Regions from separate parts of the Mus musculus genome. Here regions 1, 3, 4, 5 and 6 are each reported to be linked to region 2. The links are microRNA targets in miRTarBase. Many come from high-throughput screens and were not tested one by one. Region 2 holds a microRNA gene; each other region holds the end of a gene's coding sequence.

What was found. The annotated mature microRNA mmu-miR-9-5p reads UCUUUGGUUAUCUAGCUGUAUGA and lies in region 2 at 2,913-2,935, shown strand. An mRNA with a match to its seed (bases 2 to 7 or 8) in the 3' UTR can be bound and repressed. Matches are read on the target gene's strand: a 7mer-m8 pairs with bases 2 to 8, a 7mer-A1 pairs with bases 2 to 7 and ends in A, and an 8mer does both.
Region 1: miRTarBase lists Atp6v0a1 as a target of mmu-miR-9-5p. The part of its 3' UTR that is shown has no 7-base or 8-base seed match.
Region 3: the mRNA of Prps2 is a reported target of mmu-miR-9-5p. Seed matches in the 3' UTR shown: 7mer-m8 at 2,056-2,062.
Region 4: miRTarBase lists Tsc1 as a target of mmu-miR-9-5p. The part of its 3' UTR that is shown has no 7-base or 8-base seed match.
Region 5: the mRNA of Dnajc14 is a reported target of mmu-miR-9-5p. Seed matches in the 3' UTR shown: 8mer at 662-669, 7mer-m8 at 1,447-1,453 and 7mer-A1 at 1,949-1,955.
Region 6: the mRNA of Epm2aip1 is a reported target of mmu-miR-9-5p. Seed matches in the 3' UTR shown: 7mer-m8 at 2,083-2,089.

The regions. Positions count from the first base shown.
Region 1 is chr11:101,061,945-101,067,225 of GRCm38, forward strand. Atp6v0a1 (ATPase, H+ transporting, lysosomal V0 subunit A1) reads left to right here. Exons shown (of 22, transcript NM_016920.4): 22 at 368-1,775. The coding sequence ends at 461. Among named protein-coding and RNA genes, the nearest start is that of Naglu, 5.5 kb to the right of the region's middle.
Region 2 is chr7:79,502,367-79,507,667 of GRCm38, forward strand. It overlaps Mir9-3 (microRNA 9-3), which reads left to right and starts at 2,898; the gene lies at 2,898-2,987. The region is part of intron 1 of Mir9-3hg (Mir9-3 host gene); the gene reads left to right. Gm51285 (predicted gene, 51285) reads right to left here and starts at 2,970; the gene lies at 2,913-2,970.
Region 3 is chrX:167,344,463-167,349,763 of GRCm38, forward strand. Prps2 (phosphoribosyl pyrophosphate synthetase 2) reads right to left here. Exons shown (of 7, transcript NM_026662.5): 7 at 1,858-4,536. The coding sequence ends at 4,444. Among named protein-coding and RNA genes, the nearest start is that of Tlr7, 17 kb to the left of the region's middle.
Region 4 is chr2:28,686,406-28,691,674 of GRCm38, forward strand. It overlaps Tsc1 (TSC complex subunit 1), which reads left to right. Exons shown (of 23, transcript NM_022887.4): 23 at 249-4,767. The coding sequence ends at 768. Among named protein-coding and RNA genes, the nearest start is that of Spaca9, 11 kb to the right of the region's middle.
Region 5 is chr10:128,816,948-128,822,248 of GRCm38, forward strand. It overlaps Dnajc14 (DnaJ heat shock protein family (Hsp40) member C14), which reads left to right. Exons shown (of 7, transcript NM_001359825.1): 6 at 11-113; 7 at 254-2,501. The coding sequence ends at 464. Ormdl2 (ORM1-like 2 (S. cerevisiae)) reads right to left here and starts at 4,682. Exons shown (of 4, transcript NM_024180.6): 1 at 4,595-4,682; 2 at 3,314-3,567; 3 at 3,007-3,158; 4 at 955-2,068. The coding sequence starts at 3,487. The coding sequence ends at 1,933. Sarnp (SAP domain containing ribonucleoprotein) reads left to right here and starts at 4,817. Exons shown (of 11, transcript NM_025364.3): 1 at 4,817-5,024. The coding sequence starts at 4,989.
Region 6 is chr9:111,273,081-111,278,381 of GRCm38, forward strand. It overlaps Epm2aip1 (EPM2A (laforin) interacting protein 1), which reads left to right. Exons shown (of 1, transcript NM_175266.4): 1 at 1-5,301. The coding sequence ends at 701. Among named protein-coding and RNA genes, the nearest start is that of Epm2aip1, 3.9 kb to the left of the region's middle.

The sequences.
Region 1 (5,281 bases), not on the chromosome of region 2:
CAGTCAGTGCTCTTAACCACTGAGCCATCTCTGCAGCCCCCTATTGTTTTATTTATGTGTCTGAGTGGGGGCATGGAGACTAGATGAGGGTGTCAGGTCTCTAGGAGCTGGAGTTACAGGCAGTTGTGAGCAGTCATGTGGGTGCTGGAAACCCAGGTCCTCTGCAAGAGCAGCCCGTACTCTAACCACGGAGCCATTTAACCTCCTTATTTTATTTTATTTTTATTTTTGACGGGGTCTCACAATGTCACCCTGGCTGGCCACCAATCCACCTGCCTCTGTCCCCCACGGTTGAAGTGTGGGCCACCACACTCAGCCCTGTTCCATTTTCCCTGTGAAATGACAGCTGTGCTCTTCTGCGTTGCAGGGTGGAGTTCCAGAACAAATTCTACACTGGGACTGGCTTCAAGTTCCTCCCCTTCTCCTTTGAGCACATTCGGGAAGGGAAGTTTGATGAGTGAGTCTGAGGCAGGGCGCATGCCCAGAGCAGCTCCCCTGCCCGTCTCCACAGTGATCAGCTGTGTCTCTCTTGCCTGCTGGTTGTGATCCCTGGATGCCTGGGCCTTTGTGTCGCCCTGCAACCCCTTGTCCCTGCTGTGACTCACTTAGGTAGTGCTGGCCTTGCCTCGGTCTCTCTACCCCAAAACTTTGGATTGAATGCTGAATGACTGTGCCTGATACTCACCCATCCCCACGGCACCGGCTAGGCCCCTTGGCCCCCCAGACAGACAGCCCTGTTCCACCCCCTGCTGGTGAGCCAACCTGCACAGCCACATCGGGGCACAGAGCCCTCAGGATGCAAGGGATCCCTCTTCAGTCCAGGAGTTCTTGGTCACACCTTGGAGGAGGATGGTAATTGGTCCTCTCCTACAGGGGGACACTGCTTATGAAACACATCCCACTCCACTAGCAGGGACAGTCAGGAAGATGCTGCGGTCATCCCTTGCCCAGCCCTCTCCAGTTAATATTCAGGAAATTAGGCTGGCCCCACCTGGACCATCCCAAAGGTCCCAGGATAGCCACCACCCTCCTAAGCACCCCCTCCTCGAGCCCTGTTGGCGCAGCATAGCATCCCTGGGACTGGGGGGGTCTCACCGACTTGCAGCACTGGGCTTCCGGATCTTAGGTTCCCTCCACCCAGTCTGTAGGTGAATGGGCCTTGCCCAACACTACACCCCAAGGCAGAAGTTAAAATTGGCCCATCTCTGAGCCCTTCTGCACCCTGATCATGATGTCCTGAGGCTGTGGTCAGTAAGGTTGGTTCTGCTGGCAGGCCTGCCTTGATCTGCCCACTGAGACTCCCTCCCCAAGCCCCGCACTGACCCCAGGTTTCAGGAGTGGTGTCCTGGGCAGGGAAGGTCATTTACAATTTGCTAAGCGGAGGTGACTGTTGGGCTGCCAGCGCAGGTATGGGAGCGCTGCCCAGGCCTGCCAAGCCCTCGCCGGCTACCTCATGTACTGTGGATCTCAGACCCTTCTAATCATGTGCTGACTCCTGCAATTCACTCACTGCCTTCCCTGTGGAAGTGACACTAAATCAGCAAGGCCCCTCCCCTCCCCCACCCAGGTGCTCATGAGAACTACCCCCACACTCGCCCAGGCAGGACCGGCCCATGGTGACCTTGTTCTGAACCCCTCTGTCCTTTTGTGCCCGGTTACGTGATCTTTGCTCTGTTTGCAGAGAGGCCTGCAGCAGAGCTCTTTGTGGGGACCCTGTCCAAGGCCTTCTGTCCAGACATCTTATCCGGAATAAAGTGTGTTTGACTCTCAGAAAAGCTGCCTGTCTCTGAGTGTGTGTGTAGGGGGGTGCGGGGAGGCTGTCACTCTAGCTCTGCCCTCCGGAGCCCATCTGGTGCCCACACCCACTTCCTCCTGCCTGCCAGCCTTTCTGCTTTTCTTCCTGATCTGAGGCCACAGTCGCCCTGGCCCTGGCTGGGCGGTGAGTCTGTGAAATTAGCACCTTATCTCAAGTCGCCCAGGCGCCTTCCCACTGCCCTGAGCCAAGTTTGCATTGCTTGGGCAGTCTCTATCTCCCTTCCCTTCCCTGTGTATCCCAAGCAGAGAAGGGGGCCTGGGTGTCTGCCCCGACTTCTCTCCAAGTGCATTCTCCAGCCCTCCATGGCCTGGCTATTTTGAGCCCTAAAGCCTTTGGCCTCGGTATAAGTGGAGGCTTGGCAGGCTCCTCAGGGCAGCTGGAGAATGTGACATGCTGAAGTAGGCAAGCTAAGGGCCAGAGAACCGGTAGACTATGCGGGGAGAAGGCTGGGTGGGGAGGCCACTTCCCGTCTCTGAGACATACACATTCTTTCTCTGCCCTGCCCCCTACACACACACACACACACACACACACACAGGGCTGGTTTATGGCACAGGAATGTAACACCTGCTTCTCATAAGAACAGGGAGAAGAGCTGGGACATCCTGTTCATTCCATCTTCTTAGTCCACCCTAGTCTATACCCCTCTCTCCCAACCAGCAGGTCACCTCCCCTGGAGCAGTGCTCCCCGACTCCATCTTTAAATGAAAGCCCCAAAGAAAACCCTGATCCTCTTGCTCACAGGGAGGACTAACTAGAATGGCAGAGTCAAGAATCCAGGATCAAATGCTAATTTACAGTCAGCCAAGATTAGACAAAGAGGCCAAGGTAATTCTCCGCAGAGAGAACAGAGCCTGACACTATATATCTGCAGTCCCGGCCCTCTGGGGGTGGATACAGGATTGGGAGTTCAAGGCCAGCCTGAACTACATGAGACCTGGTTTCCAAAACAACACAACAAAAACCCCTTTGTTTTCAGTAACTGGGGCTAATACAACTGAGTGTTCACCTGCAGGGAAAACACATTTGGATTGCTCCCTAACCATAACGAAAATAAACTCAAACACCGGGCCTGGGCCTGGGAGCCCAAGACTCAAGGGCCTGGAACAGAAGGCTCCTGAGTTTAAAGCCAGCCCATGCTGTATAACTACGTCATGTCTTATCAGCCACAGATAAAGAAATGAAAATAAACTTAATAAAATTAAATTAATAAAAAAATTAAAAGTGGATCATGGACTTAAATGGAAGAGTTAACGCTATAAAACTTAAGAGGCCTTCAAGCTAGGCAATGAGTCTCACATGTGAGCAACAAGATAAAAAACGCAGATGTTGGCCTTCAAAGTTTTGGTAAGCTTTTGTGATTGAAGGTCAGAACCGAAGCGCCTGGAGATAGAGAAAGATAGAGAAAAGGTCACAGGCAGATACCCAGGCGGTCTGAGCTGTGCCATTCAAGGAAAGGGTGAAAGGCCTCCAAAGACTGGGGATTGGCGAAGGATCCAAGATACCCAGCCATCTCCAAGGAATGTGTGTCTGGGCAAAGGGGACGCCGCTGTAGGACCTGCTCACTGCTCCTCCGGCTCACACACCCCTCCCCACAGAAGATGGGCTCTGTGTAAAGGTAGAAGGTTGCTTTCCTTCCCTTTCTTTAAAAAAGAAAAGGGGTGCCCCCCATACCCCATGCCTGTAGTTCCCGGAACTTGGGGTTGAGGCCTGAAGGAATAGCATTGAAGGCCATCCTCACCCTTGATGGCACAGTGAGTTTGAAGTCAACTTGGGCTACATGAGACATGGTCACAAAAAAAAATTTTTTTTTTAATGTGGCACGATGGCTTAGCAGGTAAAAGTACTTGCCACACAAGCCTAATGACCTGTGAGAGTCCCAGACCCAAGTAAAGTTGAAAGGAGAGGATTAACTCCACAGAGTTGCTTCTGACCTCCACCACCCACCCCACACCCCATCATACACAATGATGATAATCAAAATGTTAAAATTTAGAATAAAGCCTAGAGCTCTCTCTGAATTTTTCTTTCAATATGCTCTTTTTAAAAAGGAAAACAGAGGCAGGCACGGCCTTTAGTGCCAGCACTCAGGAGACAGAAGTAGGCAGATCTAGGTCTTTGTGAGTTCGAGGCCAGCCTAATCTACAGAGCCAGTTCCAGGACAGCCAGGGCTACACAAAGAAACCCTGTCTGTTTCAACCCTGCAGGACTGGAAAATGAAGAAAAAGGAGAGGGAGAGAGAGAGAGAGAGGGAGAGAGAGAGAGAGAGAGAGAGAGAGAGAGAGAGAGAGAATGTGGAGAAAAGGAGAGAGGAAGATATATCAGGATGGCGGTGGCATGTGCCTTTATCCCCCACCCCATGGGGGAGGGGGTAATGTGTTCACGTGAGAGCGTGGGTACACACTGAGTCCAGAGATCAAAACTGGATCTCTTCCTCTGTTGCTCTCTGCCTTATTTGAGCCTCCCTCTCTGGCACGCTTGAGACAGGGTTTTCTAGAATCCCTGGTTAGCTCTGAGCTCACTATGATGTATAGGCATGCCCCACCATGCCTGGCTAAAGTATACACCTGGAAGACTTGTTAGTTTAAGTCTTAGTTACCTCTCTGCTGCTGTATACCCACCCTGGCTAAAATCAACGTACAGAAAAGTTTGCTCTGGCTACATTCCCAAGGGAGGGTCTATAATGGTGGAGGCGAGGCAGCAGGCAGCCAGAACCTATGTTTGACCATAACCTGGAAGCAAAGAGGGCAAACTAAAGTGGAGTGAGACGGTAATATACTCTCATCAACCTCCTGGCAGGGGCTGTCAACTGCAACGTCATGTTGTGGTGACCACCACCACCATAGTTTTATTGCTCCATAACTGTCATTTTGCTATTGTTATGGTTTGTAATATAAATATCTGTGTTTCCCAGTGGTCTTAGGTGACCCCTGTGAAAGAATCACTTGACAACCCCAAGGGGTCGCGACCCACAGGTTGAGAAAGGACCGACCTAACCGTCCTATTATCTCCCCTAAACAATAACACTAATCCGGGACCAGGCGTTGTAATACATGAACCTATGGGGGCCATTTCTCATTCAAACCACCACAGTATAGAATCTGAATCATGGAAGTAAAGGGAGAGGACTAAGACTTCCTCGGAAAGAAATGGCTCCTCAGTGGGGCTGATCAGAGTCGGGGGAGAGCAGAGTCCTTAGCGAGGCTGAGTTCTCAGAATCCCGAAGCTTCCGGTTTCCTCCAGCCCGCTGAAGATGGGATGGCCTGGGCTGGAATGTGTGGAAAGTTAGGGGTGAGGAGCAGGCTCCGTTGGGCCTGTTTCTAAGGGGCGTGTTCTTTTTCCTCTACAATTTCCAGACGCCATCCTGAGATCCTGGAACAAGCTTTAGAGATGGCAGCCGCAGGTCTCCTGGAAGCAATGACCCACCTGCAGGGGCAGCGCTCAGCCTGCCCAAATCATGTGCTG
Region 2 (5,301 bases):
CCATGGCCAGGGCCTGTCAGCAACCATGGGTTTTCTAGCTCTAGATCCACTGCCAGCTCTTTCTTGGGACTTAGGGACAGTAGGCTAGAGGCAAGAGATTGATATAGGAGGAAGTGTAGCGAACTTAGACCCGGCCCAGAGTACAGTGTGAAGATGAAAAGACAATCAGAGCCAAAGTCAGCTGGGTCCTCCGTGGGTAGGCTCAGCCCCAAACAATGTGTCCCTGCTGGGTCTGACCTGGAGGCTTCCCATCCTGTACATGGGTGTGGCTGCTAGCTCAAGGAGACTACCTACTGCCCTGTCCCACCAGAACATCCTCCAAAGGGCAAGCAATGGATGACCCAAGGCCCACACTCACTGTGGCCTCCTTCCTGAGAGAGAGCTGATAACACCTTCATGCACCCGGACACTGGAGACAGAGCCCACTCCAGCATGGTGTAGGAACCTCTGCCTGGCTGGCCTCACCTGCTTTGGCAAGGGACATGGTTTCCTAAAGGACAACAGAAATGTGGCTTTGGTGGCACTAACCTGCCTTACCTGAACAGAAAGCAAAATCAAGCTTTTTAGTCTTTCTCCCAGACTCCTAACCAGCCCTAGGCTCTCAGGCCAGGGCTCCAGCGTGCTATAACCATGAACCTCACAGCCGAGGAGCCATTTTGTGCAGCGTCCTGCTTAAATCACACTCTGAGAACGCTCCTTCTCTCTTTCCCCTCTCTCCTGCTCCCCACTCCCCCTCTTTCTTCTCCCTCCCCCTCTTTCAGGTGAATCGTGCTTGCACAGTTCCCTCTGCCTCTTCAGTTCCACCCATCCAAGCTCAGGGTGGCCCAGAAGGACTAGAGCGCAGGAGGCCGCCCACACTGACAGACACACAGCTAAATGGAAGAGGGTGTAGATTCCAGAGGCTGTAGGAGGAGAAGAAAGGGACACCTCCTAATTATGAAAAATCCTTTAGAATTAACCAGGCAGGCCCAAATTCGAGGTTCCTTCCTGGGCCTTGCTGTCGGTAGGTCGGCCCCTCTGTTTCTCTGATGCTTTTCAGTCTAGCCTGTGTCCTTTTTCTGAGACAAGGATTTGTCTGTGAGGTGGCATTTGGAAAGAGGTGTGTAACTGCTAGCTGGCTTGCTCACTGGCTGACAGGGATGGCAGTGGGGATGCAGCCCACCTTGGATTTGGGGTCAAGATAAAAAATAGGACGAATCTAAAACAAGCACGGGGTACAGAGGTGTGGTGCCAAAGCCTGGTATTAAACAAAAAAAATCCAGATGTGTCATTTAAGGGAGACTGCTTTAGATACCTTTAGAAAAATTCCCTGATCCCTTCCAAATCACCCACTTTGGGCCTATTCTTTGAACCCAGCCTTATGGGATTTGCTGATGGAGAGTGTGTAAGGGGTGCCCCCCCCCCCGCCTCACCAAAACAGATCTGAATGAGTACCCCCACCAAATCTGGGCTGCTTTGGGGATGCCTTAGCACAGAGAGTCTTTGGGACTCCCTCATAGTCACTGCTGGAATCCTGGAACCCGCTACCCCCCACCCCCACTCTATTGTTAAGTCAATCTCTAGATCTTGGATTTAAGATCTTTCTAGGGATGACTGGGGGGGGGGGAAGGAGATATCGAATTTTTCATATTTAATCCTTTGCCTCCCAGGAATGGGTGAAGGGGGTGAATCAGGGCTCATAGTGGGAGGGGTGTACAGGAGCAAGGAAGACAGGATGGGTTTCAGGTGAGCAACCTCTAAACCACCACGTTTAGGAGACTGAGACGGGACTTCAGTTTGGTGGCCAGGCTCAATTCTACTGTGAAACCTCAAAATGTCAATTCTTTTGCCCTGTAAAGTCACTTGGAGTAAGTGGGCTAGGGTGTGCTGTGAGCAGAAAGATGGCAGGAGCTGATTATTTTTATGGGAGGTGAATAGGAGCCCAATTACGGCCTTGGATATCTTTAAGGCGCAGGGGCACAATTGATTACATATCCTTGGCTGTACTAGGAATGGTCAGAGGGAAAGGGCTAACAATCTGGTGCCGACATTTAGGACCTGGTTTGAGCGAAGCATGCCATGGGAATCCCTACAAGTCAGGCAATATATATGGGATACATTGATCTAGACACCCACTCCTTCCCTTAATCCCCAGTCTCTACCGCGGTGTCTGTACAGTGCTGGGCAAGAAAAAAAAGGAAGAGAGACCTTAAGGATAAAGTGACCGGTTCGCAGCCTCTCCTGCGCTCACTTGGTTGCCTTGGAGAGACCTCGACCTTAAACCTCTTCCCTCAAACTCTAACTCTGGTGGTCTGCGGTGGCTGCCAGGCACCTAAGACGTTGCTGGGAGGTCAGAGAGGTTTGAGAGAAAGGCCAGACTGTGTGCATCCAAGCAAGCAGGCCTAAGGCTTCTGAGGGCAGAAGAGGCGCTCCCCTGTCCTCGCGGCGCAGAAGCCGTGAACGCCGAGGCCATTGTAAGGCTGGGTGGTGCCGAGCGCGGGAAGGGGGCTGGGATTTGAATGGAAGCCCGTGATAGGCCGATCCCCCGACTGACGTCACTTCCCCGCGGGGCGATTAGCCTGCGAGAGGAGGGCTGATGGTCCAGTGCGCTGGGGGCCGCCAGGGCGCCCGAGGCTGCCCAAGCGCAGAGCGCCGGTTACCCGAGTGCGCCCCGGGACGGCGTCGAAGCGGGCCGCGCACGCACTGGACGGGGAACTGGGGATGGAGAAATCGCGAGGGCGAGGGAGGAAGGGAGCTGGGCGATCCGGGTGGCGGGAGTCCGTGTGTCTGTGTGTCTGTCGGTCCCCTCTGGCTCTCCGCGTGCGCCCGGGGCTGCGGGAGCGGAGTCCGCTCAGGCCCCCGCGCCGGGTCGGCGGCGGCACGTGGGGCCCACAGCGCGGCAGCGGTGCCGGCGAATGGGAGGCCCGTTTCTCTCTTTGGTTATCTAGCTGTATGAGTGCCACAGAGCCGTCATAAAGCTAGATAACCGAAAGTAGAAATGACTCTCACAACTTCTGCGTGCGATGGCCCGGCCGGCCGCCCTGGCCACAGGAGCCAGAGGAGCCCAGAGAAGCCCACGCCACCCAGGGATTCCAGCTCGACGGAGCGGCCACGCCGGGACCAGGTATCCGACCTCGGCTCTCCTGGGGACACTTGCCGTGTCCTGGAGGCATTCCCTTCACCTCCTCCTCGGTCCCTGCACCCCCATCACCATTTCCCAGCGCCGAGGCTGGAACCCCGAAGTGGAGTGGGTTGGGGGCAGGGAACGGGCTGGGGTTGCAGAGGGGTCGCTGGCGGGGAAGGCGCCAGCCTTTGCCTTCACCCCATAAATCAGGCTAGAACAATCCACGCCCTGAGCTGCAGACTAGGATTTTGGGATGCAAATGCGATGAGAAAGAGAACGGAGAGAGGAAGGGAGAGAGGAAGGGAGAGAGAGAGGAAGGGGGAGAGAGAGAGAGAGAGAGAGAGAGAGAGAGAGAGAGAGAGAGAGAGAGAGAGAGGAGAGAGAGAGAGAGACCGGTAGGCAGTGTGTAGGGGGAGTAAAAGGGTGGGCAGGGGGCTGCCCTGCCGCTAACAATGCAGCCTTTATCGAATTATTCGACGAGTCAGCCCCTGAGCACCATTAGCATACGGCTGGGGGGTTGCTGGAGCTTCGCCCCTCGGTGAGGTCAAGTTCTTGATAATTTGATCACTTTTCACCGGCTCTGGCAGCTGCCTTTGTGTGCAGTTGGGGGGTCTGTGTGCAGCGTGAAGCGGAGCAGAACTGGCGGGGAGTGTACTCAATGGCAAGGGGCCTAGGCGGGGGGCCTCCCGCCCCGACCGACCGGCCCTGCCCTGCATACAAACCAAGAGCAGGCTGCTGGGCGGGAGAGACGTAGCCCAGATCCTCTAAACCTCTATAGTTCTGGTCGGACGGCTGGGGCCGGAGCCTCCCCAACTTCCCCAACTGGTTAAGGGGGAAGCCAGGCTCTCTGGAGCTCCTCTCCTTCCCGCCCCAATAAATGGCAACATAAGATGTATTACAATGTCTAGCAAATAAAAAAGCAATTGGGGGAAAAAATCTGAATTCCGTTCCCATGGCAACCCAATGCTGCACACCGGCCACTCAAGCTCCAGGTCCCTCTTAGCTGGGCGCTGCGAGTGGGGCGTGCCAATGTTCTGTGTCCGTGGTTCTTAGCCCCACAAGGAGCGGAAGGTCCCTTTGAGGTTTCTCTGCCTTCAGGTCCCTCTCCTTCCTGCCACTCCCTTTACTCTTTCCTTATCTTGAAGTTTGGGGCCCCCTGCAACTTAGGAAACCATTAGGGCTCCCGCGTGGTGGATGTAGACCCAGCTATGGACCCTATCAAGTGTAGGGAAGAAAGGATCCAAAGTCAGTTCACATACCTTAAGGCTTGGGGTCTTTTGGGGTTCTTTAAGGCACATATCAGTGTATACATGCTTTAGCAGATTGACTGGGAAGGATTAGTGCTACCATCCTGACTTGACCCGCTTTCTTTTCCTTGAACATATTAAGGAAGCAGATCTGGGGGGTGAGGGCCTACTCCTTAGGGAGTAGCACACACAGCGCAGAAGTGCAGAGGTGGGCACTACCTAGGTCACCTTACCTCCATCTTGGCCCAGTTCAATCCCAAGAGCCTCTTGCCTTAGTTATTTATAAGATTGGTCTCTCAGCCTCTATCCAGAACCTGCCCAGCCCCCTTGTGATAATAGAAATCTTTTTCCATCTTTGTGCCTACCAGCCGTTCCTCCCCCCCCCCCACACCCTTTGCTTAGCAAAATTATCTTAACAACAAAAAGGTGACTTGTGTAAAAGTAAAAATAAATTCAGTGATACAAAGGAGAACCTCCTGGGTCTGGGGAGGGGCAAGGTGTGGCTTCCATACGGTAGATGGAGAGTTTTTCACTGCATTGCCTTGGAATGTTAGACAAAATTAAACGCGGTGGCAGGAAAGCAGCTGTCTCTGTGCCTCCTTCTCAGGGACTCATTGGGTGGAAGGAAGGGGTTCGAGGTCCTTTCATCTTTTCCTTCCCGTTTCTTAGGCCTGTGAAGGGTCACTCGCGTGTTTGAGGACCCAGGAGCCTCCCTCCCCCCAACTGCATCTACTGGGCTTGCTCCCCCTTCCTGGTGCACCTGGGAGCCTGTGTGCTGGTGGTGACCTCATTTCTGAGGAAAGCAGAGCAGCTCTCTCAGCCTGCTTGCCCAGCACTCCCTGCCTCCACGTCTCACGGATGGGCTGGGGCTTCCCCAGAGCCTGCCCCGGTACTCAGAGCCTTCTCTTCCCTGGCCCCTCTCCTTTGCTATTTTTGTAAGAGCCAGTCCTT
Region 3 (5,301 bases), not on the chromosome of region 2:
ATCTTGAGCTAGGCTGGCAGCCAGCAAAGCCCCATTACCTTCTTGTATCCACTCCTTAGAGTGCTGGAGTGGCCACATCTGGTTTCTTATAAACAAGCTAGGAATTTGACCTTGGGCCCTCATACTTGCATATCAAGCAGTCTTAAGTGCTGAGTCATCTGCCTAGACCCACAAGGTCTATAAGCTCATCAGTTTTAAGTAGTTTGTTGACTTATACACACAATTTAGATGAAGGATATGGTCATGTTTCTACTCCAAGCCCCCATCTACATTGGCTATTCCCCCTTCAAACACACCATGAACCACTCAGTCTGTGCTGGAAAATGGATATTGCATTCTGGACAATTCTACGGCAGATGACCACTTCTAGCAGTGGTACCTTCACTAAGCCCTTACTAAACTCCTGACTAGATTCAACACTCCAAATTTCACAGCCTTCAACTATCTCTACTTCATTTGGTCTGATGCCTGGAGTTCATGGGTGGATTAGAGGGGACTTCTATGAGGAATGAAACACTTCCAAGATGGGGCAGCATTCTTGGGCACCACTGTAAACCTCTCTTTTGCAGTAAATCTCCTTTTAAGTGACCTTATGGTGTTCTTTCCTCACAGACCTGGTGACAGTTCTTTATAATGCATAGTAGTTTTGCTTGCTTGTTTTCCAAGATAGCAACCCATGTTTGTAGCCTTGGCTGTCCTGGAGCTCACTATGTAGACCGATCTGGCCTTGAGATCAGTCTGCCTTCACCTCTTGAGTACTGGGAGTCAAGGCATGTACTCCATGCCTGGCTGTCTGGTGATTTTTAAGGCCTTTCTTTGGGTGTCACTTTCACTCAAGCATTTCTCATACATCCAAGAAAATAACTGTGTATCTTGTCCTGAGGCTAGAGAACTGGCACAGTCTATAAGGCACGCGCCGCACAGAAGCATGAGGACCTGAGTTTGTGTCCCCAGAACCCATGTAAAAAACGGTGTGGTAGCAGTTTGCCTGTTAATCCTAGCACTGGAGACAGAAGATTTCCAGAGCTCACTGGCCAGCTAGTAGAGCCAAATTCGTGAGCTCCAGGTTCGGTGAGAGATGATGTCAAATAAATATAAATAAATAAATAAACAAATAAATAAATAAATAAGGCAGGGGAGAGCTGAGGAGAGCTCAACCTCTGGCATTCACATCCACGCTCACACATGAACATGTACACAGACAGATGGGCAGATACACACATTCGCACAACAGGGACATGCAATTATTTTGTTCCCACAAGCAAAATTTAAAGCATCACAGAACAGGGTGTGAGGGGGCATGTTCTAAAAGGACAGAAACCCTTTTGGGCATCCTTTAAAACAAAGCATGTGGACAACTTCTATGCAGTCTGCACTTAAGTTTGGACTGTTCCAATACATGGATAATGAGTTTCTCTACTTTTTAGATAATTGTATGTATAATACACTGTAGCAATGCATGGATATAAGGGTGTGTGGAGGTGGGCATTTGCATTCTACATTTCCATGTGGTGGTTAGAAGACAACTCTCTCCTCCCACCATGTGGGTCCCAGGGACTAAACTCAGGTCAGCTTGGTGGCAGGTACCATCTCCCCACTCCTGGTCTTTAATTTGAAAGATAGTCTCTAGAATGATCAATTTGGATGTGCTCTGTGGAGCATCGATGATGCCTTGTGAGAGAAGATAGCCAATAAGTCCTTCACAAAGAAAAAGTCGTGAAGAGGACATTTTAATTATTTCTGGCTTTCCTCTCCTTTTGCAAACTGGATGGTTAACTTATAGTAATGAACATTCTCAGGCACTTCATCAGCAGATCATTTCATCCAAAACCAGAATTCCAAAAGGATGACAAGAACTATGAAAGAAAGTAGTCAGCATGATTTTATTGAAATGTCTTAGTAAATGGCACCAGATCTCAAAATTCTCTAGTCTCTAAAACCAGGGCAAGCGCTGCAAGAAATGTCCTGAATTTAGTCGACATTGTATCTAACAAAGGAAAGTTAGCATATGAACATCTATAAGTAAACTAATAAAATTATGTGGAGGATAAACAACTTTGGTATATTCACTATTTCCTGGCTCCCCTTTTTGGGTAGATATGACTAACATGCTCTCCTTACATAGAGTTGGACAGAGCTGATCTATTTGGTAATTTCCATTATGTTTCTTTACCACAAGCAGCAAGGAACAAGAAAGTTCTGAAATAAGGCTGCTCATGAGGCAGCCTTCGTCATTTTAGCCAAACTGAAACCAATATTTAAAACCATATTTCCACTGTATAAGGCCCAGTCCAGTCTAATTAGTTCACAAATGTATTCAGAGGTACTTTAAAATACTAACTCAGGCCAAGTAAGGACAGAAACAATTGGTTCTCAAATTCAGAGGACAGCCAGGCAGATTTTTATGACAGGGTTTTAAAACTGAAGATTCTTATTTTAAGATCCATGGTACACATTAAGCTTTAAATATCTTAGATAAAATGATTACCAACTGGCTTTTGTCATGCCAATGCTTTGGGACATGTACACACACACACACACACACACACACACACACACACACACACACTGAGCTATCTCCATGTGGGTATGCACAAGAATGTCTTCAGCACAGCCATAAAACCCAAGAAATTAAGACATCGCACATTTATCACAAGTAACAGCTGCATCATCTCAAACAAGTTTTGACACATGTCTAACCAAGCCTGAGACAGACTGTACCACAGAGCTGAGCATCCCAGGTTATAGGAACCACTTTCTTCAGAACAGTTACAAATAAGGTATTATCAAAATGCCAGTCTCTATAGGAACATAAATTATACTTTGTAACATTGATTTGACTTCTGCTCCTCTGCTGTTCCAGAGTGCTGGTTGAGTGTGCTACTCAGATGGATAGGAATTTCTTACCTGCAAAATTTAGGGCTGGGAATTTATCTACAATACTCAGCAAGGGGGGGGGGATTTTTTTTTAAGCATTCCTAAGCTTTAGGTACACAGGCAAATCCTCTTCTTTGTGAGAAGGAAAATGATAGGTTGTGCACTTACTGATGCCTTTTGTTTGTTTGTGTTTTATGACACACAGTCTCAGCTCTCCAGGCCAAGCTGAGCTGGAACTCACTGTGTAGCCTAGGCTGGCCTTAAACTTGTGGTACTCTTCCTGCATTAGTTTTAAAGTGCTGGGATTACGGGCACAGACCTCCACACTTCACTAAAAGATCATTTTATCAAGAATGCCACCCACAATGAGATTCTTCTTCACAATGCTTTCTGAAGCATTTCTTTGAAGTTTATTTTAATGGAACAGCTATTTACTTTTGCCTCCACTGTTTTGCAACCCTCTCCTGTCTACATTTTAGCAGCTTTAGAGATGCTAACTAGTCATTAGAGATGGAGTTCTTCTGATGACAAAGGGCCAAAGGACATTTAACTCAAGCTCAGTAAGCTCTGTTTGAATAAGTGTATTTGGTGGCACTCTTAAATCCTCCCCATTTTATGTATGTGAAAAAATAAAATAATAATCAACCTAAAATATGTGAGGGGGTTTCAAGGAGCCTTTCTTTTGGTGGACATCTACAACAAGAAACTATTGGGGAATGTGGAAAGTAAAGGCTATTGTTAACGTCTGAGAATAAGGTGATAGGACATGAGCTACATTCTAAAGAGAAATTCCCCTGGGATAGACAAAGTTGTGCATCAACGTGGTCACAAACTCATTGACTACAGCCTGAAATGGTAGCCAAATCAGTGATCACTGATCATAATTTGGGAGTTTCCGGTAAGTTGTCATTTATGATATATCTTCAAAGTGGCAATTAAAAAATGATACAGCCTTATATTGTCTTTAATATGTCTAATATCTACTAAGAAAAGTCAGTATGTCAGTGGCTATCTTAGGCCCAATAAAATTCAGTCCTGATAAAGGGCAATAAAATAAACCCAGTTATCATTAAGAAAAAAACAACAAAATTTCAAAATTCATGATAGTATAAATTTTCCAAGGTTCTCTCTGACATAAAGGTTATTTAGGATTTCCCCCCAAATATCCACAGGCATTATTATATATTTACACAGAAGGCTTTCATTTGAAATCACCTTTGGCATCCTCAAAATGTATGTATGACAAATTTCCACAATGGGATTTTAGGCTTAAAAGTTGTTACCTCAAAGTACTAAAAAAGAACGAGGGAAAAGATGAGTTCTCATTGACACCAGTTCAATTAACGACCAAATAACCACCACCTTTCTCTGCCCTCCCCCAGGACTGGAAAGTAGTAGTCTTGAGCTTTAGAAGGAGAGACAGAGGGCTCTTAGAGTGGACACAGATCAGATGCTTTTGCCAGTGATCATCCTAGAATTGCGGAGTCCTAATTCTAAAACAGCAGGCAGACAAAGACAGTGAGAAGTTGGAGGAGGCTTGCTCCATCTTCAATATTCCAATCCAGACTACAGTGGGACATGGCTGAACAGATAGGACACGGATTCCCCATTGTGGGTTCTTCGAATGGCTTCAGCCAGGATCATCGAAATGTCAATCACCTGAATAACACAGGGAAAACACAAAAGACAGGGAGTCAGTTCTATTTCTTTAAAAGCTGAAAAGCCAGAATGTATATGGTATGTTTTTTGTCAAACCTCCTTCAGTCATTTCTTTGGGGAACAACAAACAACTGTGGGTTTTAGCTTCAAAGACAGCACAGCCAGCTGAGCCAACTATCGCTCTTGGGAAGATTTTCAGTGTGAACACTCAGGGGTGCTGCTACCCACAACAGATGGTCCCTTCTCGGGATACTGGTTGTTTAAAACTTAGTTTTCTTATTCATTTGCAGAGGTTTTACTCTAGAAAATATAGCAAATCTGCTTTTTCTATGTTATAACTTTCATTTTTTATTTCTTAAGTTTTTACTATAATCCTAGCATCCATTTATAAAACACGGCAATGTTTTTCATAGAATATAAAGCAAATCTTATACAAGCTACCTTTTTACTTGGCTACATCTCAATTTGGAATACTAATGAATGAGATTTTAAAAATTCTTTTATTTACTGTCATCATCATCATCATCATTAGTTTTGTGTGTGTGTGTGTGTGTGTGTGTGTGTGTGTGATATGTGTGGCTGGGCACACATGTACCACAGCATGCATATGGAGGCCAGAAGACAATTTTGCAGAGTCAGTTTTCTCCTTCCACATTTAAGTGGCATATAGTCAGGAGGGGCATGAAGAAGTAGCTCACTATATATGCTTAGTACAGCCAGTTGACCTGCCCACACTCCATTTTCAGGAGACTATTTACCTAGGGA
Region 4 (5,269 bases), not on the chromosome of region 2:
ATAAAGGGTTACTGCTCTTGCAGAGGACCTCAGTTTGGTTCCTGGATGTAGGGAATCGGATACTGTCTTCTGGCCTCCTCAGGTTTCAGGCAGGCACATACATACATACATACATACATACATACATACATACATACATGAAATATTTAATTAGAGAAGGAGCATGTGGAGTTGGGACGCAAGTGTAATTTTGCATTTCCTCTGCAGTGCTGTGGTTGTCAGCTGCACTCTCTCTGGGTCTCTTACAGGCTTGACTGTTGTAGTGATGGATGCACAGATTCCTTGGTAGGACATAATGAAGAGGCTTCTGGTCACAATGGTGAGACCAGGACCTCCAGACCTGGTGGCACCCGGGCCAGCTGTGGAGGTAGAGTCACTGGAGGCAGCAGCAGCAGCAGCAGTGAGCTTTCCACTCCAGAGAAACCCCCGAGCCAGAGGTTCAGCAGCCGGTGGGAACCTGCCCTGGGCGAGCCCTCCAGCAGCATCCCCACCACTGTTGGCTCACTTCCCAGTTCCAAAAGCTTCCTGGGCATGAAGGCCCGGGAGCTGTTCCGTAATAAGAGCGAGAGCCAGTGTGATGAGGACAGCGTGACCATGAGTAGCAGCAGCCTTTCTGAGACCCTGAAGACAGAACTGGGCAAGGACTCGGGCACAGAAAACAAGACTTCCCTGAGTCTAGATGCCCCACACCCATCTTCCCCAAACTCAGACAATGTGGGGCAGCTCCACATCATGGACTACAATGAGACTCATCCTGAACACAGCTGAAGAGGGTCTGTCAGTGTTCATTTGCGTCTTTGTCGGCACAGAACAGAAGGTGTGAATGCACGGTCTAGGCTTCTGTTTCCAGGGTCTGAGCAGCTGCTTGTGCGGTGGGAATGGGACAGAGGTCCTTCTGACAGAGGGCAGAGAGTGGGATGGTGGCTTTTGGGTCTGGCATTGAGACGCTTCCTTCACCTCCCCTAGCCTTTCATTTACCCAGCAGTGTGTACTGATTGAGGGTCTGTGCTTCACTCTCTCCTCCCACCAAATGGTTATGTCATTTGAACCTGTGCAATATGAGGCCAAATTTCATCTTTGGGTCCAATATGCCACTCTGCTTTCCTGAGGTTCAGACAACTGGGTGGCTCTTGGGTAGACCAGGCAACTAGTGGCACTGCAGGTAAGTCCAGTTTGTCCCTTGCAGGAGGATAGAGCCTACAGAGCTGTCTTTACAGGAGCGTTCCCACTGCTTTTGGTTCTGAAGTTCAGCATCTAAGCCACAGATCTAGAGAAACTGGCTCACTCACCTCTGCCTTTTCTTGGCAGCTCTGATATGATTCCTAGAAGGTTCTGTGAGAATACCAGCTGCTTTGACAGTGCAGTTGCCACTGTGGAGGCCACACTGCCTTAACTCTCTGGAAAGCTCTTACCCCTCTGCCCCACTACCTCTTATTTATTTGGTATTTGCTTGAATGCTGGCACCATGCTGCCTGTGGGTGGGTGTACAGGTGTTCGTTCTGCAATCTGCAGACAGTGGGGAGTGGTCACTAGGAGAGGCACCTACGATGCCCGTGCTTATGTGGATGTGTGCCTCTGGCTGGTCATGGTTCCACCCTTCAGCCTGTTTGCCTCCCCTTGGTCCCCTCGGGTCCAGCTGCCTTGTGATGCTGCAGCAGACAGGCTCGGGAAGTCAGGGCCTCCTAGGAGCTTATGTGATGATCACTCTCGGCTGAGGGGTTGCCTCACCTTACTAGGTTCTCACAGCTTTTACACCAACTCCAACTTCAGGAAAGACCCTCCCTGGAGCTTCATATCAAACATTTCTGTTAGGAACAGCAGAGTAACTCAGAGTCTGATAAAGGCTGGTGGCCTATACCACTGCCTGGCCTCATGCTCACAAGAGGTGACATTGGTCACTGCCAGAACACAGTGGTGGCAGAATCCAAACTCAACCAATGCTCCTGAAATAAATGCTCGAAGTGAAAGAATTGTTGCCTGATATTCTGGCCCAGGCAAGGAGAGACTAGGAAGGAGCCATGAGCTTGGATTGCTTGTTTCTATTCTGTAAGAAGAGGGTTTAGCTACAACAAAGCTAAAAACAACAACAAAATGGTACGAATCTTACTGAATAGGAAAGTTTACAGCCTGAGGATGAAAGTCTGAAGTGTGGCAGTAAATATCCTAGCATCCCTAAGTAAGGCAAGACTTAACGCCCACAGGAAGGCGTGCCACTAACCCCTCAGACCAGCAGAGGGCAGCCACTGCCCCTGAACACTTGGAGTGTGGGTGACAGTGATGGCATGCTTTTTCATGTAGTTCTGCCCAAAGCAAAGCTTAAGACCCAGGATTCTCTCACCCAAGCCATTGGAGAAGTGGGCAGATTGACAGATCTCACAGGTAGTCACAGTTTCCAAGAGTTACCACCTCCACCACCAAGGTCTGTCAGAGAACAGAGCATTTAGGAAGAAAACTTAGACTGTACAGGTGATGAAAGTTTCTGGAGAGGAGCATGGTAAGGTAAGCTAACATGCAGGCTGCCATCTCCACAGACTTCACCTGGGCCTTCTGCACTTTCCTCCAACCTCTTCCCATACCCAGCGACAGAGCCTGAGCATCCTATGTGGCTTGAGTTCTAGAAGGCTGTTAAGACTTTCCCACCTAAGGTTGGAGGACTGTGCCCCTGAGACATCTTTAAGGCACTTAACCTAAACATTGACTCCTTTCAAAGGACTTCAGGGTCAGTGGGTGGTTGGGTGGAGGCTTCTGTTTTAGAGAGCAGTGACAGTTGACCTAGGAGTCAGTAGGTCACCTGGTCTAGTTGTGCGCACCAGGAAGCTTCTGAGGAGCAGCTGGAGTCCTGGGCCAAGGAGTAGAAACCCTGGTGGGTTTCATGGTGGCATAGTGTGGGGAGGGGGTGGGGGGTTGAATGGCCTTCATCCTGTCATCACTCGGACTGTGTGCTGTGCTTGCTAACGGGCTCCAAGGAAACTGGAGGCTGTGTCTCATGCAGTCCAGAATCTGTTAGAAGCAGCCCTACCATGTCACTGCAGTGTAGGAGATGGGTGCCCAGGAGAAGAGCTAAGTGCATATTTCTATGTAATATCCCTGCCTGCAAGCTAAGACTGTGCTTTAGGAGCCAGGGCAACATGGCAGGGAGCATGAGGAGACAGGCTCTAAGTGGCATCTCCAGGCACCAGCAGTGAGTGCTGACCTCTTTCGGGGGAAAAAAGGCTTAATCTTCTGGACTAAGCTGCAGAAGGTTCCAACTGTGTGACATGATTAGCAGGGAGTCACTCTTCTTAGAAGGCAAGCTGTCACAACCCAGGAAAAGTCTGGTAGCCACTGGTGGTTTAAAAAGCAGACAAAAGTCTCTCTGCCCCATGCTGCTGTAGCCAGTGACCAAGCACCTCCCAGGTTGGTGGTGGCACCATAGGTGACAAGCGATAGACTCAGGATCACTTGCAGAGTCTGTGGGCTCTAGTGCTCAAAGGAGAATGAGAAAATGTTAGTAGTCAAGGATAAAAGGAGCTGTGAGCTGACCACAGAGCTCAGGCTGGCAGGAAGCTTAGAAAGCAAGGGGTGACGACTAAGTGAGTGTGCCCAGCCAGCCAGGGGGCGGGGAGGGGGGGGACGGCGGAGGGAAGACCATACACCTGAGGTCAGAACTAAGTAGCAAAGGCATGCCACATGGTAAGGTGGGAGACACAGGACACCCTGGTAGAGGTGTGGGCATTGCACAGGCTCAGTTTGCACTGCAGCATGTGGTCTGCCTCAGCCAGAGGCCAGTGGCCCTGCAGCCGAGGACTGAGTCCGCTGCACCTTCGCCCCAGGGCCATGCTTTAAACCCACTGCCATGTGCACTGGAAACACAGCCAGTGTGAGGATGTTTGTGTCCACCCAGAGGCGCCTCATTGCCCTGGGTTTAGCCTGTAGGAGGGTGGGGGGACATCACTGGGCTGCTGCTTCCACCCTTGTTATTCAGCTTCCTGGTTTGTGAGCCCCTGGTGTGTTCAGGGGAGCAGTGCTTCTGTCTCTGGTATCACCCTGAGTTTTTAAATGCTGTATAGAAGAGCAGCAGTAGCTACAACAAACTGCATCCTAACCACTTTTGGTGTCAGAATGAAATTAATGGGGGCAGAGAGGTGTCCTTCCCTTCCCGGAGCCCCAGTATTATCCACCCCTGGATAAGTAGGCAGCCTGAGCCACTGGAGGATGGTCTTTCATAAGACCCCTGGGGATCAAGGGCTCCAGACTGACGCCTCCTCCTGCCTCTGCTCACACAGTGTCGGAAGGGAGAGGAGGACTTGATGCTGTTGACTCCCTGGCAAACCAGAGGCAGGCAGGCAGGCGTTTTTTTGCACTAGGAAGATTCAATGGTCACCCTTCATGAGACTGGACCACAAACATGATGCAGAGGAGCAGGTTTTGCTAAGACATAGTTTAGTTTTATAATCAATCATGGATGAAGCAGATATGGCTAACTTGGGAGTTTAAGGGGGGGTGTGATATTCCCATCAGTGAAAACGAATCAGATTTTAAAAAAAAAAAAACTTTTTAGTTCAATGGAAGTCACTTCTCAAAAGGTTTAAATGTTCCCACTAAGATATGATCTTAAAAGCATGTCAAACAATCCAAATCAGATGCCATAAATATGGGCTGCAGGAGAACATGGGACAGTCTCAGTGAATGGAATCAAAGGTTTGCTGTCTTTAGAATGTTCTAAAATGTCAAGGCAGTTGCTTGTGTTTAACTGTGAACAAATAAAGATTTATTGTTTTGCACTCCGCAGTGTTGATGGAGTGACTCTGTGCTGGCTGTGGGGACGTGTGGGTGAATGAGATGGTCCAAGGCACTGTGAGCAGACTGCATGGTGGCATGGACGGGGGTGGACGGTTAGTAACAGCTACTGGACTTGGGCTGGAGAACAAATAATTCATCAGTCTAAAACTCACGGCCCTACGTAAAAGCAATGTGTGGAAGAGGGCTACCTCCAATAGCATGGCTACCCTAGTCTCCATCCCAAGTCCTTCTGATGGAACCTAGCAGAAGCTTACCCTGCTCTTGGTCAGCTGTATTGTGATATGCCATTACCACCTGCTTGCCTGGTGCCCCTGCCCTTCAAGTATCGAGCAGAGGTAAGAGTGGGCAGAAACTGTACAAACTACAGGGCAGTGCTTCACCCAGGACATGTAATTACTGCATTGCTCATCTTTTTTTGTTGTTGTTGTTTTGTTTTTGTTTTGTTTTTTTTTTGAGACAGGGTTTCTCTGGGTAGCTCTGGCTGTCC
Region 5 (5,301 bases), not on the chromosome of region 2:
CTGTTTGCAGAGTGGGCTGGATGCCAGCGTGTGGGTATCTCCCCAGATACTCACAGAGTTCCTTACCACATCTCATTTGGTTCTCGGGTACCCGGCACCAGTGGCCGGCAGAGGTAGGTGATACTTTCACACCTACTATGTCAGTTGTATGGTTTCAGATGCCTTGTTTTCTAGGAAGTTTGGGCACTGACTCTCGGTGTGTAGTTAATTTTGGAAGCCGACTATAATGTCTTCTGCCTCTTTTCTCCCTCAGGGCCACTCCAGAGTCCCCTCCTGCTGACCTGCAGGATTTCTTGAGCCGGATCTTTCAAGTACCTCCGGGGCCGATGTCCAATGGGAACTTCTTTGCCGCACCTCACCCTGGCCCTGGGACCACTTCGACCTCTAGGCCCAACAGTTCAGTACCCAAGGGAGAAGCCAAACCTAAACGGCGGAAGAAAGTGAGGCGGCCCTTTCAACGATGACACCCCTTCTCTTCCTTCCTCAAATCAATGTCAGGGAGTCAAAAGGGCTGTGTACAGCACAGGATGGAATTTGATTTATTTTAAAATACTTTAAAAAGGGAAACATTTTAAATTGTTCACTCAGTACTTAGAGGAAGCCCATGACCTCTTCTCCCTCTTCCCCAACACCCAGGAACTGAATCTTGTTTTCTGACAATACCAAAGAAATAGGAGGTGGTCAGAGCAAAGAACTTAGGGGCTGGACCTAGTCCAGACAGTATGCTTCTGAGGTGTGGGAACTGGGGATTTCTCTGGGGTCTGTATGCCTTTATCTTATCATCTGCTCTTAAGAGCAGATGAAACACACCCCCTTTTAAATGAGTGTATCTTATTTCTTAAACCCATATCAGGGGTTCCCCTCCCCCCTTTACCCTGATATACTAGCTAAAAGAAAAAGCATGTAGCCCTAATTTTGGAGACACAGAACTCAAGAGTGGAAACTGATTTTTTTCCTCTGACTTTCACTTTATTGGTAAGACACCTAACTTCAGGCTTGTTGTTGCAAGGATGGCCAAAATTAATTAATTTTTAAAAAGCAGATTTATGCCCTGTGCCCTTGGGTGAGGGGGAAGGATAGAGGGGTTCCCAGAGGCCCCCTTGTTAGCCAAGGGTTTGTATTTTTTTAAGTTTGTTCATATTTGTATGTACATATCTATTTAAAGCCAGGAGATTATCTTTCTATAAATATATAACTGGCAACTTACATCTTCCTTCTCTTCTTTACCCATGTAGCTGGGAGTCCTTTTCTATTTTCTTTTGGAGATAAGAGTCTTACTGTGTAGACCAGGCTGGACTCCAGATTGCAGTGATTCTCCTGCCTCTGCCTCCACTTCCTGAGGGCTAGCTAGTATTATAGGCATGTGCCTCCACTACTCACTTGTGAGCTCTTTTTTCTTATTTGAGAATTCTTTCCTTGCTGTTAGCTGTGAGTGAAAGGTATTGGACCAAAGGAGTAGAGACAAAATTTTGCTTAAAAGTTTTTTTTATAGTAAGTCAGCATTTTGCATTTTCTCCCCAGCATTATGAGAAAATCTCTCTGTCCTTGCTTATCAAATTTCAGCCATAACTGAAAGACTTTATTTTAAGAAAAATATACAGCAAAACAGAACTTGAAGTTGGTAGGTTTAGAAGATATGGAAAAACATAATCACCAGAAAAGCTGCCCAAACAATGATGGCTTCTTGCTAGATAGAGGAGAGTGAGTGGTAGTGCCCTTAACCTCATCCACCTTTCCTGATTCAGAGAATCTTGACCCTATGAAGACTGGACCCAGGAACCCCATTTTCCAGTTTCTTCCTTCTTGGAGTTTAGATAGGTTTATCTTATCTCTCAGGCTTCCAAGATACAGAAGATAGTGTGGAGAAGGGAAAACATTATATATTAGTTCCAGTGCCTTCCCTCAATGCCTGCAGAACTAGCAAACCATCTTTTAGTATTTGTTGATTCCAAAGAGACGAACCCCATGGAACTGGGGTAGCTTAGGCAGCAGCACGCTGAGCAGCGAGGCAGTGTTGATGAGGAAGTGAGCAGCATCGTACTTGGTGTAGAAGCTGGCCAGGAGGTAACTAGGAGAAAAGAATTAGGATGATGGAGGTTGGCCTCCCAAATCACATTCATGCCTTACCAGTGACTTTTCTATTTTGAACTACTAGTTTTATTGCATGTAGTCCAACAACTATTTCAGCTAATCAATGGTATTTAATGAGGTTCAGGATATAATCAGAAGGCATCTTTAACTAGAGATGATAAATCAGTTTGTTTGTTAATGGTTAATGATAAACTGCAAATGACAGCCAAAGCTGTTTCAGCATATATGACTTTTGGAGCCCTTTTTGCTTCCTTTCTCCAAGTCAGTTTTACTTTTTAACCATTAATATACATTCTGCCTTTACCTTCTTGCTTTCTTTTGGGACTGTAAAATCACTTGGCTTTAGTTAGGAGTTTGGTTTATTTTCAGTCCCTTCTCCCTTTCCTTAATACCATGGAACCAGCAAGGAATGCTTGACTATGTCTTGTACTTTATAATGTAGGCTTAGGACTAGAGTGTGTGTGTGTGTGTGTGTGTGTGTGTGTGTGTAAACATAGGTACATGTTCAAGGGTTAGTACACATGGAGACCAGAGTTCAACATGAGTTGTCATGAATTGCTCTCTACTTTCTTTTCTTTTCTTTTCTTTTCTTTCTTTCTTTTTTTTTTTTTTTTTTTTTTTTTTTTTTTTTTTGGCCAGGGTTGCTTTCTGACTCTGGAGTGCAGCAATTTGGCTAAACTGTCTGGCCAGCGAGCCCTAGGGATCTTCCTGCCTCTGACTCTTCAGTGCTGGGATTATAGGCACTCATGGTTGTACATGGCCACATCTGGCTTTTACATATGTGCAAGGGATTGAACTCAAGTCCTTATCCTTTATGGCAAGCACTTGACTAAACCATTTCCCCAACCCCTAGTACCTTTTCCCTGGTTAGTAGAGCCATTTCCAACCCAGCATCTCCTTCACACCCAGACTCACAGTACAATAGGAGAGATGCTGAGGAACTTTCGCGAGGAGGTAAACTGTAGTCCATAGTCCATCTGCTCCCAATGTGTCAAAAGCCGAGCCTTTCCTTGGTCAGGGGTCTCAAAGGGCGTCCCTTTGACTGTATGTAGGAAGATATACATTGCCTGGGAAGAGGGAAAGGGACAGTATAAGGGGTAGGAAGTAGTCCTTTGGGTCAAGATCCCAAAAGGAAGACATAAATCCCCGAACAGCTGGTGACTTTGTTTTGTTTTGGTTGGGATAGACCTGGGTTGGGTACAGGGTTTGGTTTAGTGCTCACCAAGTTATGGATGACGTTGGTCAGGGTCCAGACAACAGGAATGCTGAAGAAAGGGATGCTGAGGAGAACCACATGCAGCAGTCCTACCAAGATGATGTAGGCCAGCCAGATGCCCCGACTGTTCATCACTCGAGTGTTGGGGTTTACTTCGCTGTGTGCCACCCCCACATTCATCCTACCACAGTGAGGGATCAGGCAGGAGTCCAACTCAGTCTCCTCATTAGCCCTGATTGAGCTTGTTCCCCAGCTGTCTCCTGAAAAGCCAAAATCCCCTGAAGTCTTGGGAATGAAAGAATTTCCCTACCATGCAAAAAAAGGAAAAACTGAACACTTTGTTAAAACTTGAGAAGAGGTGAAGCAGCTGGGTGTGGTGGCTCATGCTTGTAATCCCTGAATTTAGGAGGTTGAGGCATGAGAACTGTTTGACCTTTCTCCAAAACAAACAAAAAGGCAAGAGGGTCTTCGAAATGACTAAGGTGGAAAAGGTATTTGTCACCATGCCTAAAGACCTGAGTTGGATCCCCAGGACCCATGCAGTGGAAGGTGATAACCAACTCCGGAAAGCTGTCTTTTGACTTCCGTACCTTCAGTTGTTAGTGTGTATACTCACACAAGTGGGGTTTTTACTCAGATCTTTACATTTCAACTAAATATAAAGCAGTAAGTTTAGACTGTGAGACCTATTTGAAGGATCGGAGGAATCGGGAGTATTTTAATTTACTTTCTTGAGGAAGTTAGTGAATTATAAAGAGGTCACACATACCCAGAGTTCCACAAGAAAGCTATTCAGTTAATCAAGGGACCAATAAAGAAGGCACTGAGAGTAAAGCTACCTCTAGTTCCCATCCTTTTTTCCTGGGGCTTGTCCATCCTGTCTCTCACCCGCTTGGCATTGTCAGCAGCCAAGCAATTTCATCCCTTCACTGAACGTGGGGCGCTGCAAAAACTTACCCAATTTTTAAATTAGTCTAGGAAGGGGTCTGAGCTCAGTCCCTCAAGAAATGGGAGTCCTTCCCTTCTAGGAGCGGTTTTAGTTTTTAAACTTCTGCAAGCTCTAATGCCTACTTTTGTTTTTTGTTTTGTTTGTTTTAACCCGCTCTTGCCTGTCCCACAATTCCCCAAATCAATTACAGAGTCCGCCCATGCTCCTCCCAGAGTCCCAGTTTCGCATGTCACTTTCTTCACGGGATCTCTCGAATCTAAGGTTGTCGTTTCGCCGCCCTTCCCAATACTCCCACCGATTTCTCTCTGTAACTTTTTAAAGTTTCACGGGGCCCATACCTGCCAGCTTCAGGAGCCCGTCCGGCTTGGGGCACAGCGCTGGCTCTTACACCTGTGGTCTCCAGGAAGTGGCCGACTTTCGCCCTGTCTGCGCTCTCCCTATTGGCGGAACAGAATCCGCGCTGTCCCCAATCATTGGTTGGTTACGCAATGGAGACGTACAATTGGTCGCCTTTTCTCTCGTTAGGCCATGCAAACCCCGCCCTCCCCTGGATCCACCTTTTTAGAGAGCCGTGGAAAGTGGCCAAGAGGCGTGAGAGCGCCGCCGCCGCTGACTAATGGGAAGAGCCGTTGGTGTGAGGTGGGAGCAAGAGAAACAGCGATTGGTTGGATGAGCCTAAGCGCCTGAGGTGGGGGCCAGCGGTGGGGGTCCGGTGGACTGAGGCGCATCAAGATGGCGGCCGAGACGGTGGAGCTCCACAAGCTGAAGGTACCGTTACGCGGGGAAGGCTGAGGTGGGGTTTCCTGGAGCCTAAATTCTACGCGGGGCCCTGCGCGGCCTTATTCCACGTGTTTTCCTGTCAGGCGCCCGCTTACACTTCTTTCCTGGCTCCCGTTGTTGTTTTGTGCCTCCTTTCTTAGGCCTACCTTGAACTTCGTTTCTCCTCAGTAATTTATCGCTATCGTTACCTGGTGTTTACCTGCTGTTACCTGTTCTTCTCATTGTTTTTATTACCTGCCACCCTTCCCTGCTCGGCTGTGAAGCG
Region 6 (5,301 bases), not on the chromosome of region 2:
CAGACAAGCAGTGGCTTTGTGATTTTGGTTTCTTGGTAGATATTATGGACTATCTTCGAGAGATCAGTGAAGAACTGCAGATCAGTAAAGTCTTTGCTGCTGCTGCCTTTGAACGCATCTGCACCTTTGAGGGTAAGCTGAGTTCACTTCAGAGACATATGGAGGAAGTAAATCTAACAGACTTTCCTGCCTTCAGTATAATCGTTGATGAACTTAAACAGCAGTTTAAGGAAGATCAAAAAATATTTGATCCTGACAGGTATCAAATGGTGATCTCCCGCCTACAGAAAGATTTTGAGAGACATTTTAAGGACCTCAGGTTCATTAAAAAGGACTTAGAACTTTTCTCAAATCCATTTAGCTTTAAACCGGAATATGCGCCTATTTCTGTAAGAGTGGAGCTAACAAAACTTCAGGCCAACACTGACCTGTGGAATGAGTACAGAGTCAAAGACTTGGGACAGTTTTATGCAGGACTGTCTGGTGAAGCTTACCCAATTATCAAAGGGGTTGCCTATAAGGTGGCATCCTTATTTGATAGTAACCAGATCTGTGATAAGGCTTTTGCATATTTAACTCGAAACCAGCACACATTGAGCCAGCCACTGACGGATGAGCATCTCCAAGCACTGTTTCGAGTTGCCACAACTGAAATGGATCCTCGTTGGGATGATCTTGTGAGAGAAAGAAATGATTCGTAAGCCGTTGTGGTCCAAGAAGTTGATTTGAAAAGGGAAAATTAATTTGATTTTTCTTTCACATTTCCTCATTTGGATGGTTGGAAAGCATTGAACTTACTACAGATGTTCAAATTGATAAGCATTGAAATCTTTCTGACAAGTTGCCTTTCTCCATCTCATTTGGCAACATGGGACTGACTGAAGCATAAGAATACCACCTTTAAAAAACTTAGTTTAATGGAAAAGTCATTGTTCTTTCCTTTTATTATTACTGATTTTCAACAAATTTAGTATTGATATTGTCAGTTGAACTAGAAGTCTGGTTTTAAAATGGTTTAAAGATATATGCCAAAAGTTTCAGCTCTTATTTTGACACAGTGGAAAGTGTGACACGTGGTTTGAAATGACCAACTCCTTAAAAGTGTATTTGAGCCAGTTTACAGAAACTCACATATCAAATTAAGTTTCTGAAAAGGAATAGCATAAACACAGTGGAGGTATTTTATCTAGATAACAGAATTTAAGATTATTTTTTAAAGCATATTTCTAAGTAAATACAATCCCCCCATCCCCACCTACCCAGTTGATGGTGACATTACGGATGGAGGAAGTAATCAATTTGGTGTTGGAGCAGCAAGAATTATTTTAAATTCCTGATTTAGGAGTTTCTTACTATCAGGAGTTAAGAATAACCAATTATTGGTGGTTTGCTCCTTATTTTTTCACAGCTGGAGCAATTTTTTCAGCTCATCTATCAAAGGACCATGGTAAGTATGGAATCTTGATCACTGCCAGTCAGTAATTTTTTTTTCCCTGCTCTAGACAGAACTTTGGCCCTATCCAAACAGTAAAGGGGAAAGACTTTTACACTTCAAGATCAGGAGTTCTGAAGGTTTTAGCTCGTTTGTCTTATCTGCATGGGTATTCATGTTTTATAAGGAAACCATGCTTAAGGGAGACACTTTATTTTGAAGTGATGAGTCAGATTTTGTTAGGTGTAGGAAATGGATTTATTCTAGAATTTAGAACTGTCTCGCACATTGAGTAGTTAAGACAGTGCACAAGTAAAAATATTTAAATCTCAAGAAGCAACCTTATCCACAGACTGTAATAATTCCTATTTCTGGAGACATTGGTTTTGTGCTATGATGTTATCAGACTTTCTAACTGTGGAGAAGACAATCTTAAGGTAAAGCTCAACCTGAAGCCTGATCTAAAAGCAGCACTGATTTGTAACTCCTCCTCGTGCAGTTTACAAGCTGATGTGCTCCGTTCTGTCTTAAATACGGCAGCACACTGTCGTGTTGCACATTCGAGGAACCTTATTACAACCAAGCGTTTGGAAGGAACTGATGCTTAAGCCACACGAGTCTAAGAGCCAAAGTTAGATCAGTGGTTCTAAACCAAAGGTAGAAGCCCTTCCTTCCAGAGAGTGCTGGAAAGGGTTAGGGCACCTTTGTAGTCCTGGAGGGTTGTGCTGGCAGGTAAGCCAAGAAGAGCTCTCCTTCCTATGGTGGTCAGACAGCCTGATGCCATGAAGAGTCATCCATTACTCCCAAAGTGCCAGCACCTCCCCCTCCCCCACCAAGCATACATCATCTTACTTCAAAGGACAGGAAACAATCTCCAGCGGAAGCTGATGGTGTATACTTGATAGGGAAGCCTAGTTCCAGCAGTTCAGAGGAGAAAAGCTAGTGTCAGATTGACATTTTCCTTATCAAAGAATGAGCTTAAGTACCTGGAAAATGAGTCTACTGGTAGTTTCCCAGGAGCTTTGTGGATTACCTTTCACAATAAATACGTAAAATACTTTTATTATTTGAGAGAATGATTGGAAGTCCTGAAAGCTGCTTCTACTTTCTATTTTAGTCCCCTAAATATTAATATCTTGTGCATTCTATCAAGTTCTTGTGTTTTGCTTAAGGTGATAATAAAGCTAGTTTGCATCATGTAACCACTGTGTGAATATGGGGGAGATATAAATAAGCTAAGGGATTTTTTTAAATTAATCCTTAGCAAGTTTGCTGTAACTAGTCTTATTTTTTGTTTTTTTCTTCGTTTAAGGCAGTGGTTCTTAACCTTCCTAGTGCTGCGACCCTTTAATATAGTTCCTCATGTTGTGGTAACCCCCAGCCATAAAATTATTTCTTTGCTATTTCATAACTGTAATTTTGCTACTGTTATGAATTGTAAATATCCAATATGCAGGATAGATATCTGATATTCGACCCCCCAGAGGGGCGAGACTCATGGGTTGAGAACTTCTGGTTTAAGGTGTTTTGCTGTTTTTTGTATTTCTGGAAGTAACTCTAGCTGCATGGCAGTTTTTTCTTTCCTTTTTCCGTTTTAAATATATAGTTGTTACTGGTCCTGTGGTATCAGTGAATATAGTTCAAATAAGTGCCATTTAAAGCAACAACAATTCTGTGTCCTTAACTGTCCTTTCCCATTTCTCTCATTCCCACTAGTTCAAATATTTGCTTGCCCAGGCTCCCATATTGCCCATCAGATCACTCAAGTTCAGTGTGTTTTGTCAGTATTTTTGCCTTCTTGAAATCATTGTAGCATTGCAGAGACACCAACTCCAGTAATTGTAGTCACCTCTTCCTTAAGTATGTCTGTCTGGTTGTTTTGTTTGCTGTTCTGTTTTGTTTTCTTTTAAGACTCCCTTACCTCATATTCCTACATTACTTCCTTAGTTGATCTCTTTCTATGACTTTAGTTATCACCTGTATGCAGATACTTCCAAATTTTTGTCTCCTGAGATTTCCCTGTAAATCATAGTTGCTAATATTGCTAACTCTTTGCTCTTTCACATCTTGGCTCTTTCTCCCAGACCTGCTCTTCCTCTCACTTTCCCTTCAGCAGATGGCTTTACAGTCAGATCACTCATACCACTCCCCTGCCTTCATTGCTATCAAGGTAGATAGAAGACAAACTTCTGTTCATCTTGCAGAACTTGGCTTACATATCATCTAAGAAGCTTCAGGGGTATCCTCTAGGCCAGGTACCCAACTACACGTGCTGAACACCCTGTCCTTTCTACTTAGCATCTCTTACTGTGCGTTGGTCATTGCTAGACTGGACCAGAGGGACGTTTAATCCATTGTTTCATCTCTAGTGCCTGGCATTTGAACAAATGCTTGGGCAAATAAATACTTGTGTGGTTTTTTTTGTTTTTTATGAAACCTTCACAGTCTTTTTTGACCGTCACGGACATTTTGCCTGTTCTCTGAATAGTTCTTAGCCATGTATTGCAAATTAAGAAATGAAATTCACCTTACTTGCGACTAGTAATCTCATTGTTGTGTTTCTTGAATTTAGTGCAGTGCTTAGCATGTGGTTCAAATATTATGTGAATGTTGTTAAGAAAACAGACTGTAATTTACCCTAGTAAACTAGTAGTAATGTCAAGATTCAAACCTAGGTGTACTCAAAAATCAGCTCTCTAGTGTTAAGTCCATAATACAGAGCCTTTATTTTGTTTTAATTTCCAAAGGAACCTACATATAGAGGGAAAACATTGGATAACTGCTTAGATTGAACTGAGTTCAGTAATCTAAAAATCACCTTCAGTATTGGAGAAAGACAAGACTGCAAAAAGTTAATGTCCATTTTTCCTTTTGTAGGCATCAACCCTAGGAGAAAGTGGCATGCTATTTAGTACTTACTTTCCTTTACAGATGATTTCTGGCTCTCCTGGAACTTAAAAGTAAGTAAACTTGTTTCTGAGAAAGATGTCTTAGTCAGCCCTTCTGACTACAAGATCTTCAGCTCATTTAAAAAAAAAAAAAATGTGGAATTCCCACATCATCTCCCAGAGAGAAAACCCCCAGATGACATCCAGTTAACATGGACTTTTAGATTTGCTGTATTTTCTTGCTTTCTTGTTTCATGCTTCTGAATTTCATTTCTAGGTAAATGAGACATTTCAGTCTTAAGTTGGAAAGCCAGATGCTTATTAGTCTCTTTCATTAAGCCATTTTGCTCAACTTAAGAGATAAACTAGTATCATTCTCTTAGTTGGACTTACAGTTTTAGGAAGTCACACTAATTAGTTCACTCTGAGGTCTTGGTAGTAGGTACAACAGTCATCCAGAGATTTGATCCTGTTGCAAAACTAGGTTTTTGTCAACCTTCAGGTTAAGGGTTTCTCATTTTTATCTCGTATTTAAAAAGTTGTTTCATCCTACAGTGTAAGAACGTTATAAATACTCTATCATTTCTGCCTTGAAACTGACCAAATACTGAATTCATGTATACTTTGTCTAAAGCAGCCAATGGCCACCACAAAGTATTTTTTTTTCTTCTTTAATAAAGGGTAGATGTCCCATCTCCCAGCTCATCTCAAGGGGCACCTCTCTAGAACATAACTTGTCCCTGTGTCGTTATTTTGTTCTATCTTCCAGTAGCGTCTCCCTGATGCCTCCCAAATAATCACTAAGCAAACTGTTTAGTGTTTTAGTTCTGCATCAGGATTGCTGAAGTTGCCGGAAGCAGACAAAAGTTTAGTTGTTTGTGACAGGTTGTCTGAGCTGTCAGACTCCAACCCCTACAGGCCAAGTCTGTCCTGGCCCATCCTTCTCTGAGGAAATTATTACAGGAGTTAGAGCCGTGTCTG